Linked DNA regions of Arabidopsis thaliana. The protein of the gene in region 1 purifies or fractionates together with the protein of each later gene. This does not show direct contact. Each region holds a gene or a part of one and is shown on either strand. Other genes may lie near its edges.

Region 1 (3,927 bases):
AAGTCTGAGTTGAGCTTGTTCACTTCACCTGTCTTAGTTGTTGACACTACGCCTCTCAGCTTATGGTTAACTTTGATCTGCTTCTCATCAAAGTTTCCACTAATCCCAAGGTGACGACAGTTGAGGCCTTCCGGGTTAGAGAACGAATCCTTCTTGGCTATATCGATCACCAAATCACGAACCATGTCATGAATCTTGCAAGTGATGATGGTTCCGCTATAGGTTTTGTCTACAACTTCTATTAGACACCTGTTTGTGAGCCCGGAAAAGCAGTCTTCTCCAGATTCAGTTGCAGATCTTCCGTTTCTCCACATGACAAAACCTTCTCCGATCCATCCATGTACTAGTTGTTGTTTTGGTATAACACAGTCTTCTGGATAGAGCGAAAGCGTGAGAATGCACGACTTAAGGTGGGAAGGGAGTTCATCGTAGCTCAACTGCAGAGAAGACATAACATTGTCAGTTTCAGAAGTGTTTCCTCTTAGCTCATCCTGAAAATGCTCTGCAATTCGTCTCCATTCATGATAGACATGGTCTTTGCACAGAAGTAACCCACCAACCGCTTTGATTGTCAAAGGCAAACCTTTGCATTTCGTTACAATCTCCTTGCCAACATCCTCTAGCTCGGGACGCTCACAAGTACCGTCATTTGCTGCAAATGCCACATTACAAAACAGCAGCCAACTGTTATCAGGACTAAGGAGCTCTGGACGGTGAGTCTTGTCGTCTCTCGCTTGCACCCTTTTCGCTACAGATTCCGACCTTGTGGTCACGATAACGCTACCTCCTTGTCCTCTAGGCAGTCCTTGGTAGATCTTGTCCCACCAGCTCAAATTCTTGTCCCATACATCGTCCATAACTATCAAGTACCTTTTCCCCAAAAGATACTGCTGGATTTTTCTCAGCAATGTTCCAATATCATCTCCAACACTCGCGTCCCCCAAGTTCCTCAATATGCTTCTCATGATCTGTTCTTCAGTAAAAGTCTGGGACACAGACACCCATATCCTTCTTTCGAAACGATGTTCGATCTCTTTGTCATTGAACACTTCTTGAGCGATTGTAGTTTTACCTAGCCCTCCCATCCCAACAAAGGCCATTATCAAAAGCTGGCTGTCGTTTGATCGAAAGAGCCACTCCTTGATTTTTCTTTTATCTCCTTCCAAACCAACCACCTGAGTATGATCATACACCGGAGAGCTCCACCGATCAGTTCCATTATCTCTTCCAACATTACTCGGCGTTATGAATTCGAAATAAGGCTCTACTTGACTCTTTATTTTCGTTATCCTCTCATTGATCTCTTGCAAACGTTTGCTTTTCTTGTACTGCAACGGAACCCGGGCAGGATGAAGCCGCGAAAGCCACGCATTTGATGACCTTTGCTCGTTCCCATCATCACCATCCGCGAGCTGACAATCCACAAGTATATCCTCAGCTTCGTAAACCAGTTCTCGTAAATCCGCAACAAGAGTACGCAACGTTTCATTAGTTCTCTTCTGCCTCTCTGCATCCTTGAGAAAAGACTGCATATATTTCAATTCGCTTTGCAAATCTTCCAACTGTTTTCGGTAGTCCGATACGGTTCGGCCTTTTTCTTCGAGGATGTTCAAGGTTTTCTCTAAAAACACTGTTACAACAGCGTCCACCATTTACTCAGACCCTGCAACTTCAAGAAATATCTCTAATTGGTAAACTATAACCAAGCAATAATTCAATCGGTTATGTGTATCATCACTAGATTGAACTTTCCAAAAATCAATCAACCAACGACTATAGAATCTCAATAACCAAAAGATTGGATTATTCTTTAACTAATCCATATCTTCTCAAGAAACATGTAGAATCCTAGAACATTGAAACAAATCTAACCAAAGTAAAGTAAACTTACAAGGTTGTGACTTAGCCTTAGCCGAGAAGGATCTGAAGCTTCAGATCTTTGGATTTTTTTAGCAAAACTTGTTTCAGAAAAATGAGCTTACATAGAGACTTTATCGAAATTGAAGTCAATGGTTTAACAAGTCAAGAGTCAACCTTACTCGTTTTCTTGGTTACTGCTGCCGACTACGAAACTTGTCTCAATCTACTTTAGAATCTTATCATTGAGTTTAGACATGTTCTGACCTCATAAAACAATATCCGCATTTCACTTAGGAAAAAAAAAAATGATTTCACTTTCTGTAACATTTTATAACCAATAATTGCATGATAGTGTTTAACAAAGAAACAAATAAAAGAACTAAATTTCTTCTAAGCTTTTGAATTATCTATTTGCTTCTTGGCTTTTAAGAACTCAACAAGTCCTTGGAGTACTTTATCCACAGAGTCACTCCTCATCAGTTGTTCAGCTACTTCTGCTGGTGTAACTTCAATTTCTCGGATAAATTCTTCAATCTGCTCGAAAAGTATATGATCTTGAATCTCGAGATAATTCGAAGCCAAAACCTTAAAAGCAGCTGGTGTGCAATACGACATGTGAATGTGCATGTCCATACGTCCTGGCCTCAACAATGCTGGATCCAATTTTTCTCTGTAGTTAGTCGTAAACACTATAATCCGCTCGTTACCACAACTTGACCATAGTCCGTCTACAAAATTCAATAGACCAGAGAGTGTGACCTGAAAATGACTAACCAAAACATTAGTAATGCTAATAAGCAAAAGATCACATAACAACATAACTGATAGTGAATCAAAATGCATCACCGTTTTATGTAACGGATCGTTGTTTTCTTGATCAGTAGACCGATCTTTTAACTCGATTGAACAATCTATATCTTCCACAACTAGAATGGAACGATTTGCAGTAGACATAAGTAACCTCCGTAGCTCAGCATTGTTGTTAAGTGATGTCAAGTCTAAGTCATAGATATCGAAGTTAAGATGATTAGCTATAGCTGCGATCAAGCTTGATTTTCCAGTACCGGGAGGACCATACAACAAATAACCTCTCTTCCAAGCTTTTCCAACTCTCCCGTAAAAGCCTTTCCGCTGCACGAATCGATCAAGATCCTCCACCAAGTTTTTCTTCACCTCGGGATCCAGAGCGAGAGTGCGAAACGTGGAAGGATGATCTAGAGTCACAGAGGTCCACTCCACGGAGTAAGAATCAACGGTGAAGATCTTCAATGTTTTAAACTTTTGTTTAATAGAAGCAGCTTGTTCCACAACAAACGGTAAATAAGATTCAAGAACCATGTTCTTGAACTTCTTTCGGAAACTAAGCTCGTAACTACGCACTTCTGATTTCAAAGTGGAGTTGAGATCTCTCGGGTTACGAAAATCCTTTTTATCGACATGGCGACATACAAGGATCCAACTAAGCTTGACGCCATCAAAAATATCAACAACTTCCTCATCACGTTCAACAGTAACACTATAATTGCTCTGTTTCTCAAGTTTGTTAACTTTGATTCTTCTAGTGGAATTAGATATCTTGGTGGAGAGATAAGCCTCTGCAGCTTCAAACACTTGGTTGTGTTCAAAACCTCCAAATTCTTCTATTACAGCTGTCATCTGATAAGAGAAGTAGCTGAAGAATCTGCGAAAGCCGTGAGAGATATATTCATGAACCTCGTTTGGCATGTAATCTTGAACCACTGATCGAGCTAGTATTGCGGCTGCAGCAACTGATGCAACCGCTGTGAGAGCTGTTTTGGCGGTGGCTAGATGAGATTCACTAGAGGAACTCATCTCCTTCAATCATCAAAAATAAAATAAATACATTCAAGTCGGTTCTCATAAATCAAAGAGACAAGAAACTAATCCAAAAAAAAATCTGATTATAGAACAATAGTACTGTATTTGTTACTAGGTTACGTGGGGATAAATCTGATTAGGTTAAACAAACGATGCTATTCTTTTGATAATTTTACGATGAGCACACAAATTGGAATCTTAACAAGTAAAAAAAAAAAAATGTTAAGG
Region 2 (3,927 bases), on another chromosome or scaffold:
TCTTCAAGAACTCTCAATCTCTCATATATTTCAAAAAAATATATATATTTACATGTGGTATATCACTATCAAACTACTAACAATATTAGCTGGGAACTTAAAAAGCATTAATAGAAGACAAGGAAGATAAGCTCATCAATATTTTTAGGACCCTCGTGTGAATGTGACTCACATGGGAATGCCTTCACTCTCTTTCCCTCCATGCCTATCCTTTTCTAGATACACTTCTCCACTTTGATCTCATAAATTTCAAAATTACTATAATTAATAGGCCATTATAATATGTAAATTATAATTTTCGTGTTTGTGTTTAAATGATGTAAGCTTAAGGAGTAATTAGAGATGACTTCTTAAATCATCTGATTTAATGCTTTTTATAGCTAATGTGAAAAATTGATTGTGTGCGGAGAAATTGAAATTGATAGATACAAAAGAGACTCGTTTTATAGCAGTTTGAGTGAAATAAAAAGACTTTGGGTATGGGCTTGGGCTTGGATTTCATTTTGGGTCCATCAAATTTTTCATCAACTAACCTATAAAAGGAAAAGTGAGCTTAACTCTTTTCTATAATTTCCCTAAACCCTGACACATGATATATTAGAGATAAGGGTAAATTTTCCTCTTTGTTCTTCGGTTGTTTCTTTTTGTCTCTCTGTTCCTGAGCGACTGAGCATATATATTTATTGTGATTTTGTTTCTCACTTCACATATACGCACTCTGCAGATATATGGTAATGAAATTGTTTCTCGTGCATTAAAAACATATCTATTCTCTCTTACTTATTATCTTCATCTCTTTCTAATACGTGGAATCCTCTCTTACTTATTATCTTTATGTCTCTGATTTGTGTTTTCTTGAGTTTTTTTTAATGATTTTGATGATTTTAGAGAAGTTCATATATTTTTGTAAAATCCATTCAAATTTCACCTTAAACTATGAGATTTAGATTTCTGTATTTTTAACTAAGGAAATCCTCTCAAATCTTCCAAAATCATTAAAATTCAAATCCACAAATTATGGATTTTGAAATCATTAGTTCAATAACACTGAATTTCATGAAACTTTTTAAAATCATTATAATATAGGATTTATAAATTCTACACAAATCTCTTAAAATTCCACTTTCAATACATCCCCTAAATTCTCTATTTAATTTCCAATTTTCTAGTATCTAATTCCTATTTTTTATTGGACAAAGTATGTATGCATAATGAAGATTTTCATATCTAGTACTTTTCTCCGATTGTTGGATTTTCTAAATGTATTTCTAATTGTTGGAACTTTCTTGTCACTAATTTTTTTTGATACTTGTGACAGAGACGTGGCTCAACATTACGCGAACGAAAACGTTGACACTAGATACACTAAGATATACGTGGGAGGTCTGCCTTGGGAAACAAGAAACGAAGGTTTGAGAAGTTACTTCGAACAATTTGGAGATATTATACATGTTAATATGGTTTGCGATAGAGAAACGGGACGATCAGAGGGTTATGGTTTTGTCACGTTTAGAGATGCTGAATCTGCAACGAGAGCTTGCCAGAATCCAAAACCGGTCATAGACGGACGAGAGGCCAAGTGCAATCTTGCTTATATTGGTGGTAGGGTTAACAATAACCAAAACGCCCAACAACAACAAGTACTACCTATGTACCCAACTGGGACCAGTTTCCACCACCCCAATATCATACCTACACACCTTATGGTTATTGGACACCCCATGGCCCTTACTACGTGAACCAACCTGGTCCTTACTACTTGAACCAACCTGGCTTTTGACTTATGAGCCATCTCTTTCGCTGTTGTCTGAGACACTACTTGTTGTTCTATTTTCTGATTTCAGGCTGTTTAGTCTGCATGATTCTAATCTAATTATGTTTACTTTCTTATATACATTGCATCTCTTCTGTTCCAAACAGAGAACAAGAATCTAATTTTTCAAGCCCTGTTTATTCTAGAATGTTTCTAAATTTTGCCTTATAAGCATTTATATAGACATTGGCATAGTAAATAGTAAATACTGTGGATTCTTTTGGCTTTTGAATGTGAACTTGACTTTTTAAAGTGTTGAATTCTGAGACAGCCCAACCTTTTTTGAAGCTTCTTTCACACTTAAATCATTTTCAACCTCATAAAAAAACCTACAAGATCTATTAAAATATAAAAATCAAAATCTACAGATTTATCATCTTTATGATCAACAATGGGAAACTGTCTAAAGCCTCTCAAAGAACAACCTCCTTCAGCTTCTCCCAAGCCTCTCACCATCCCTTCAAGTTCAGGTACATCTCCGTTTTCAAATGCACTTTCTACTTTTGTTTACATATATAATAATATCTTAATACGTCTTATAAATGTAAAAAGTGGAGCCAGTAAAGGAGAATTTGAAAGAGTTTAGATTTGCCGAATTGAACAAGGCAACAAAGAGATTCAGAAAATACATGGTCATAAAAGGTAATGATAATGGGTTTACTCGAACATTCTACGAAGGCTGCATCAATGAGACAACCTTTGCTCCATCAAGAACTGGAATCACTGTTTCTGTCATGGAATGTTATCAAGATAATTCGCAGACTCTACAAGACTGGAAGGTAACCAAAATCTTACGCAACTACTATTTCTATCTCTTTGATCTTATTTATGTATGTTTTGTTTAGTTACTTATGCATCTGATGGGTACAAAAACTATTGAGTTGCAGGAAGAAGTGAAGTCTCTTGGACGTATTTCTCATCCCAATTTAGTCAAACTTTTAGGCTATTGTTGTGAAGAAAACAAATCATTCTTAGTTTTCGAATACTTGCATAAAGGAAGTTTGAACCGTTACATTTTCGGAAGTTAAGATCTCTTCTAATCAATGGGTCCATTTATAAAATCAGTATACTCAATATTGCCTTACAGTTTCATGTTTTCTCAACAGAAGAAGAAGAAGCATTACCGTGGGAAACACGGGTCAAGATAGCCATAGGAGCAGCTCAAAGTATTGCATTTCTACATTGGGTCAAGAACAGCGCGCTATATCGAGAACTCAGAATGTATAACATTTTGCTTGACGAGGTAAATGACTTTAGAACACTCTTCTTGCTGTTCTTATTGTTTATAACCTTACAATAATGCCTGAACTTATAAATTTCATCAGCACTACAACACAAAATTGTTCTATCTTGGATCAAAGAAACTATGTTTGTTAGAAGAAAGCGTGACGACTGCATTCATAGGAAGAACTGTATATATACCTCCTGAATATGTAATCTCAGGTACACCAAAATCTTAAGTTTTGTTAACGAACACTCTAATTAATCTTTCGTGGTTCGATGTTTAAGACAGTTGTGTAATGTTCTTAGGTCATTTGGGAACGAAGAGTGATGTGTATACATTTGGTGTGATATTGTTAGAGATTTTAACTGGTTTGAAAGCTTCAGATGGTAAAAAGAATGAGAACATGCAAAGCTTACATGTATGGACTAAACCTTTCTTGTCTGATCAATCTAAAATCCGGGAAATCATCGATCCTCGACTTGGGAACGATTATCCTGTGAATGCAGCGACACAAATGGGAAAACTCATCAAAAGATGCATCAAGTTGGACACAAGGAAACGACCATCGATGCAACAAGTCTTTGATGGTTTGAATGATATTGCAGAGATTAAAGATTAATGTGTAAGAGTTAATGAGATTTGAAGCTGAACAAGTTTGGAATAAAAGTTTGAAACAAAGAAGATAAAATCTCCTTCTATGTCGCATCAACTCTTTTCTTTCATTCTATAAATGAGTCCTAGAAAAATTTCCACAAACTTGCCTTATATGGATACAGACATACCCAAACTTGCCTTCTATGTCTTTTGCTTTGTTTTGCCTGAATGAGAAATTGAAAATTTCAAAGGGTTGAATTCTGAGGCCAGTCTAAACCTATTTTTTAGTAGCTTC

The links.
Region 2: the proteins of ZAR1 (region 1) and AT5G11410 purify together in Arabidopsis thaliana (affinity purification with western blotting, with the first as the bait; one study listed by BioGRID). This does not show direct contact.

What each region holds. Positions count from the first base shown.
Region 1 is NC_003074.8:18,933,852-18,937,778, reverse strand, and holds the start of ZAR1 (HOPZ-ACTIVATED RESISTANCE 1), read right to left. Parts: upstream 2,106-3,927; 5' UTR 1,892-2,105; exon of another isoform or gene 1,664-1,891; 5' UTR 1,653-1,663; coding exon 1-1,652. Other genes in the region: AT3G50940 (P-loop containing nucleoside triphosphate hydrolases superfamily protein), read right to left, coding at 2,251-2,619, 2,707-3,693.
Region 2 is NC_003076.8:3,638,161-3,642,087, reverse strand, and holds AT5G11410 (Protein kinase superfamily protein), read left to right. Parts: upstream 1-2,122; 5' UTR 2,123-2,204; coding exon 2,205-2,283; intron 2,284-2,365; coding exon 2,366-2,592; exon of another isoform or gene 2,593-2,664; coding exon of another isoform or gene 2,665-2,700; coding exon 2,701-2,836; intron 2,837-2,919; coding exon 2,920-3,056; intron 3,057-3,138; coding exon 3,139-3,256; intron 3,257-3,343; coding exon 3,344-3,657; 3' UTR 3,658-3,897; downstream 3,898-3,927. Other genes in the region: AT5G11412 (RNA-binding (RRM/RBD/RNP motifs) family protein), read left to right, coding at 1,212-1,739. UniProt on the Arabidopsis thaliana protein: Together with SZE1 and ZED1, required for effector-triggered immunity (e.g. Pseudomonas syringae type III effector HopZ1a) via the activation of ZAR1, thus being essential for resistance against P. syringae pv. tomato DC3000 expressing HopZ1a.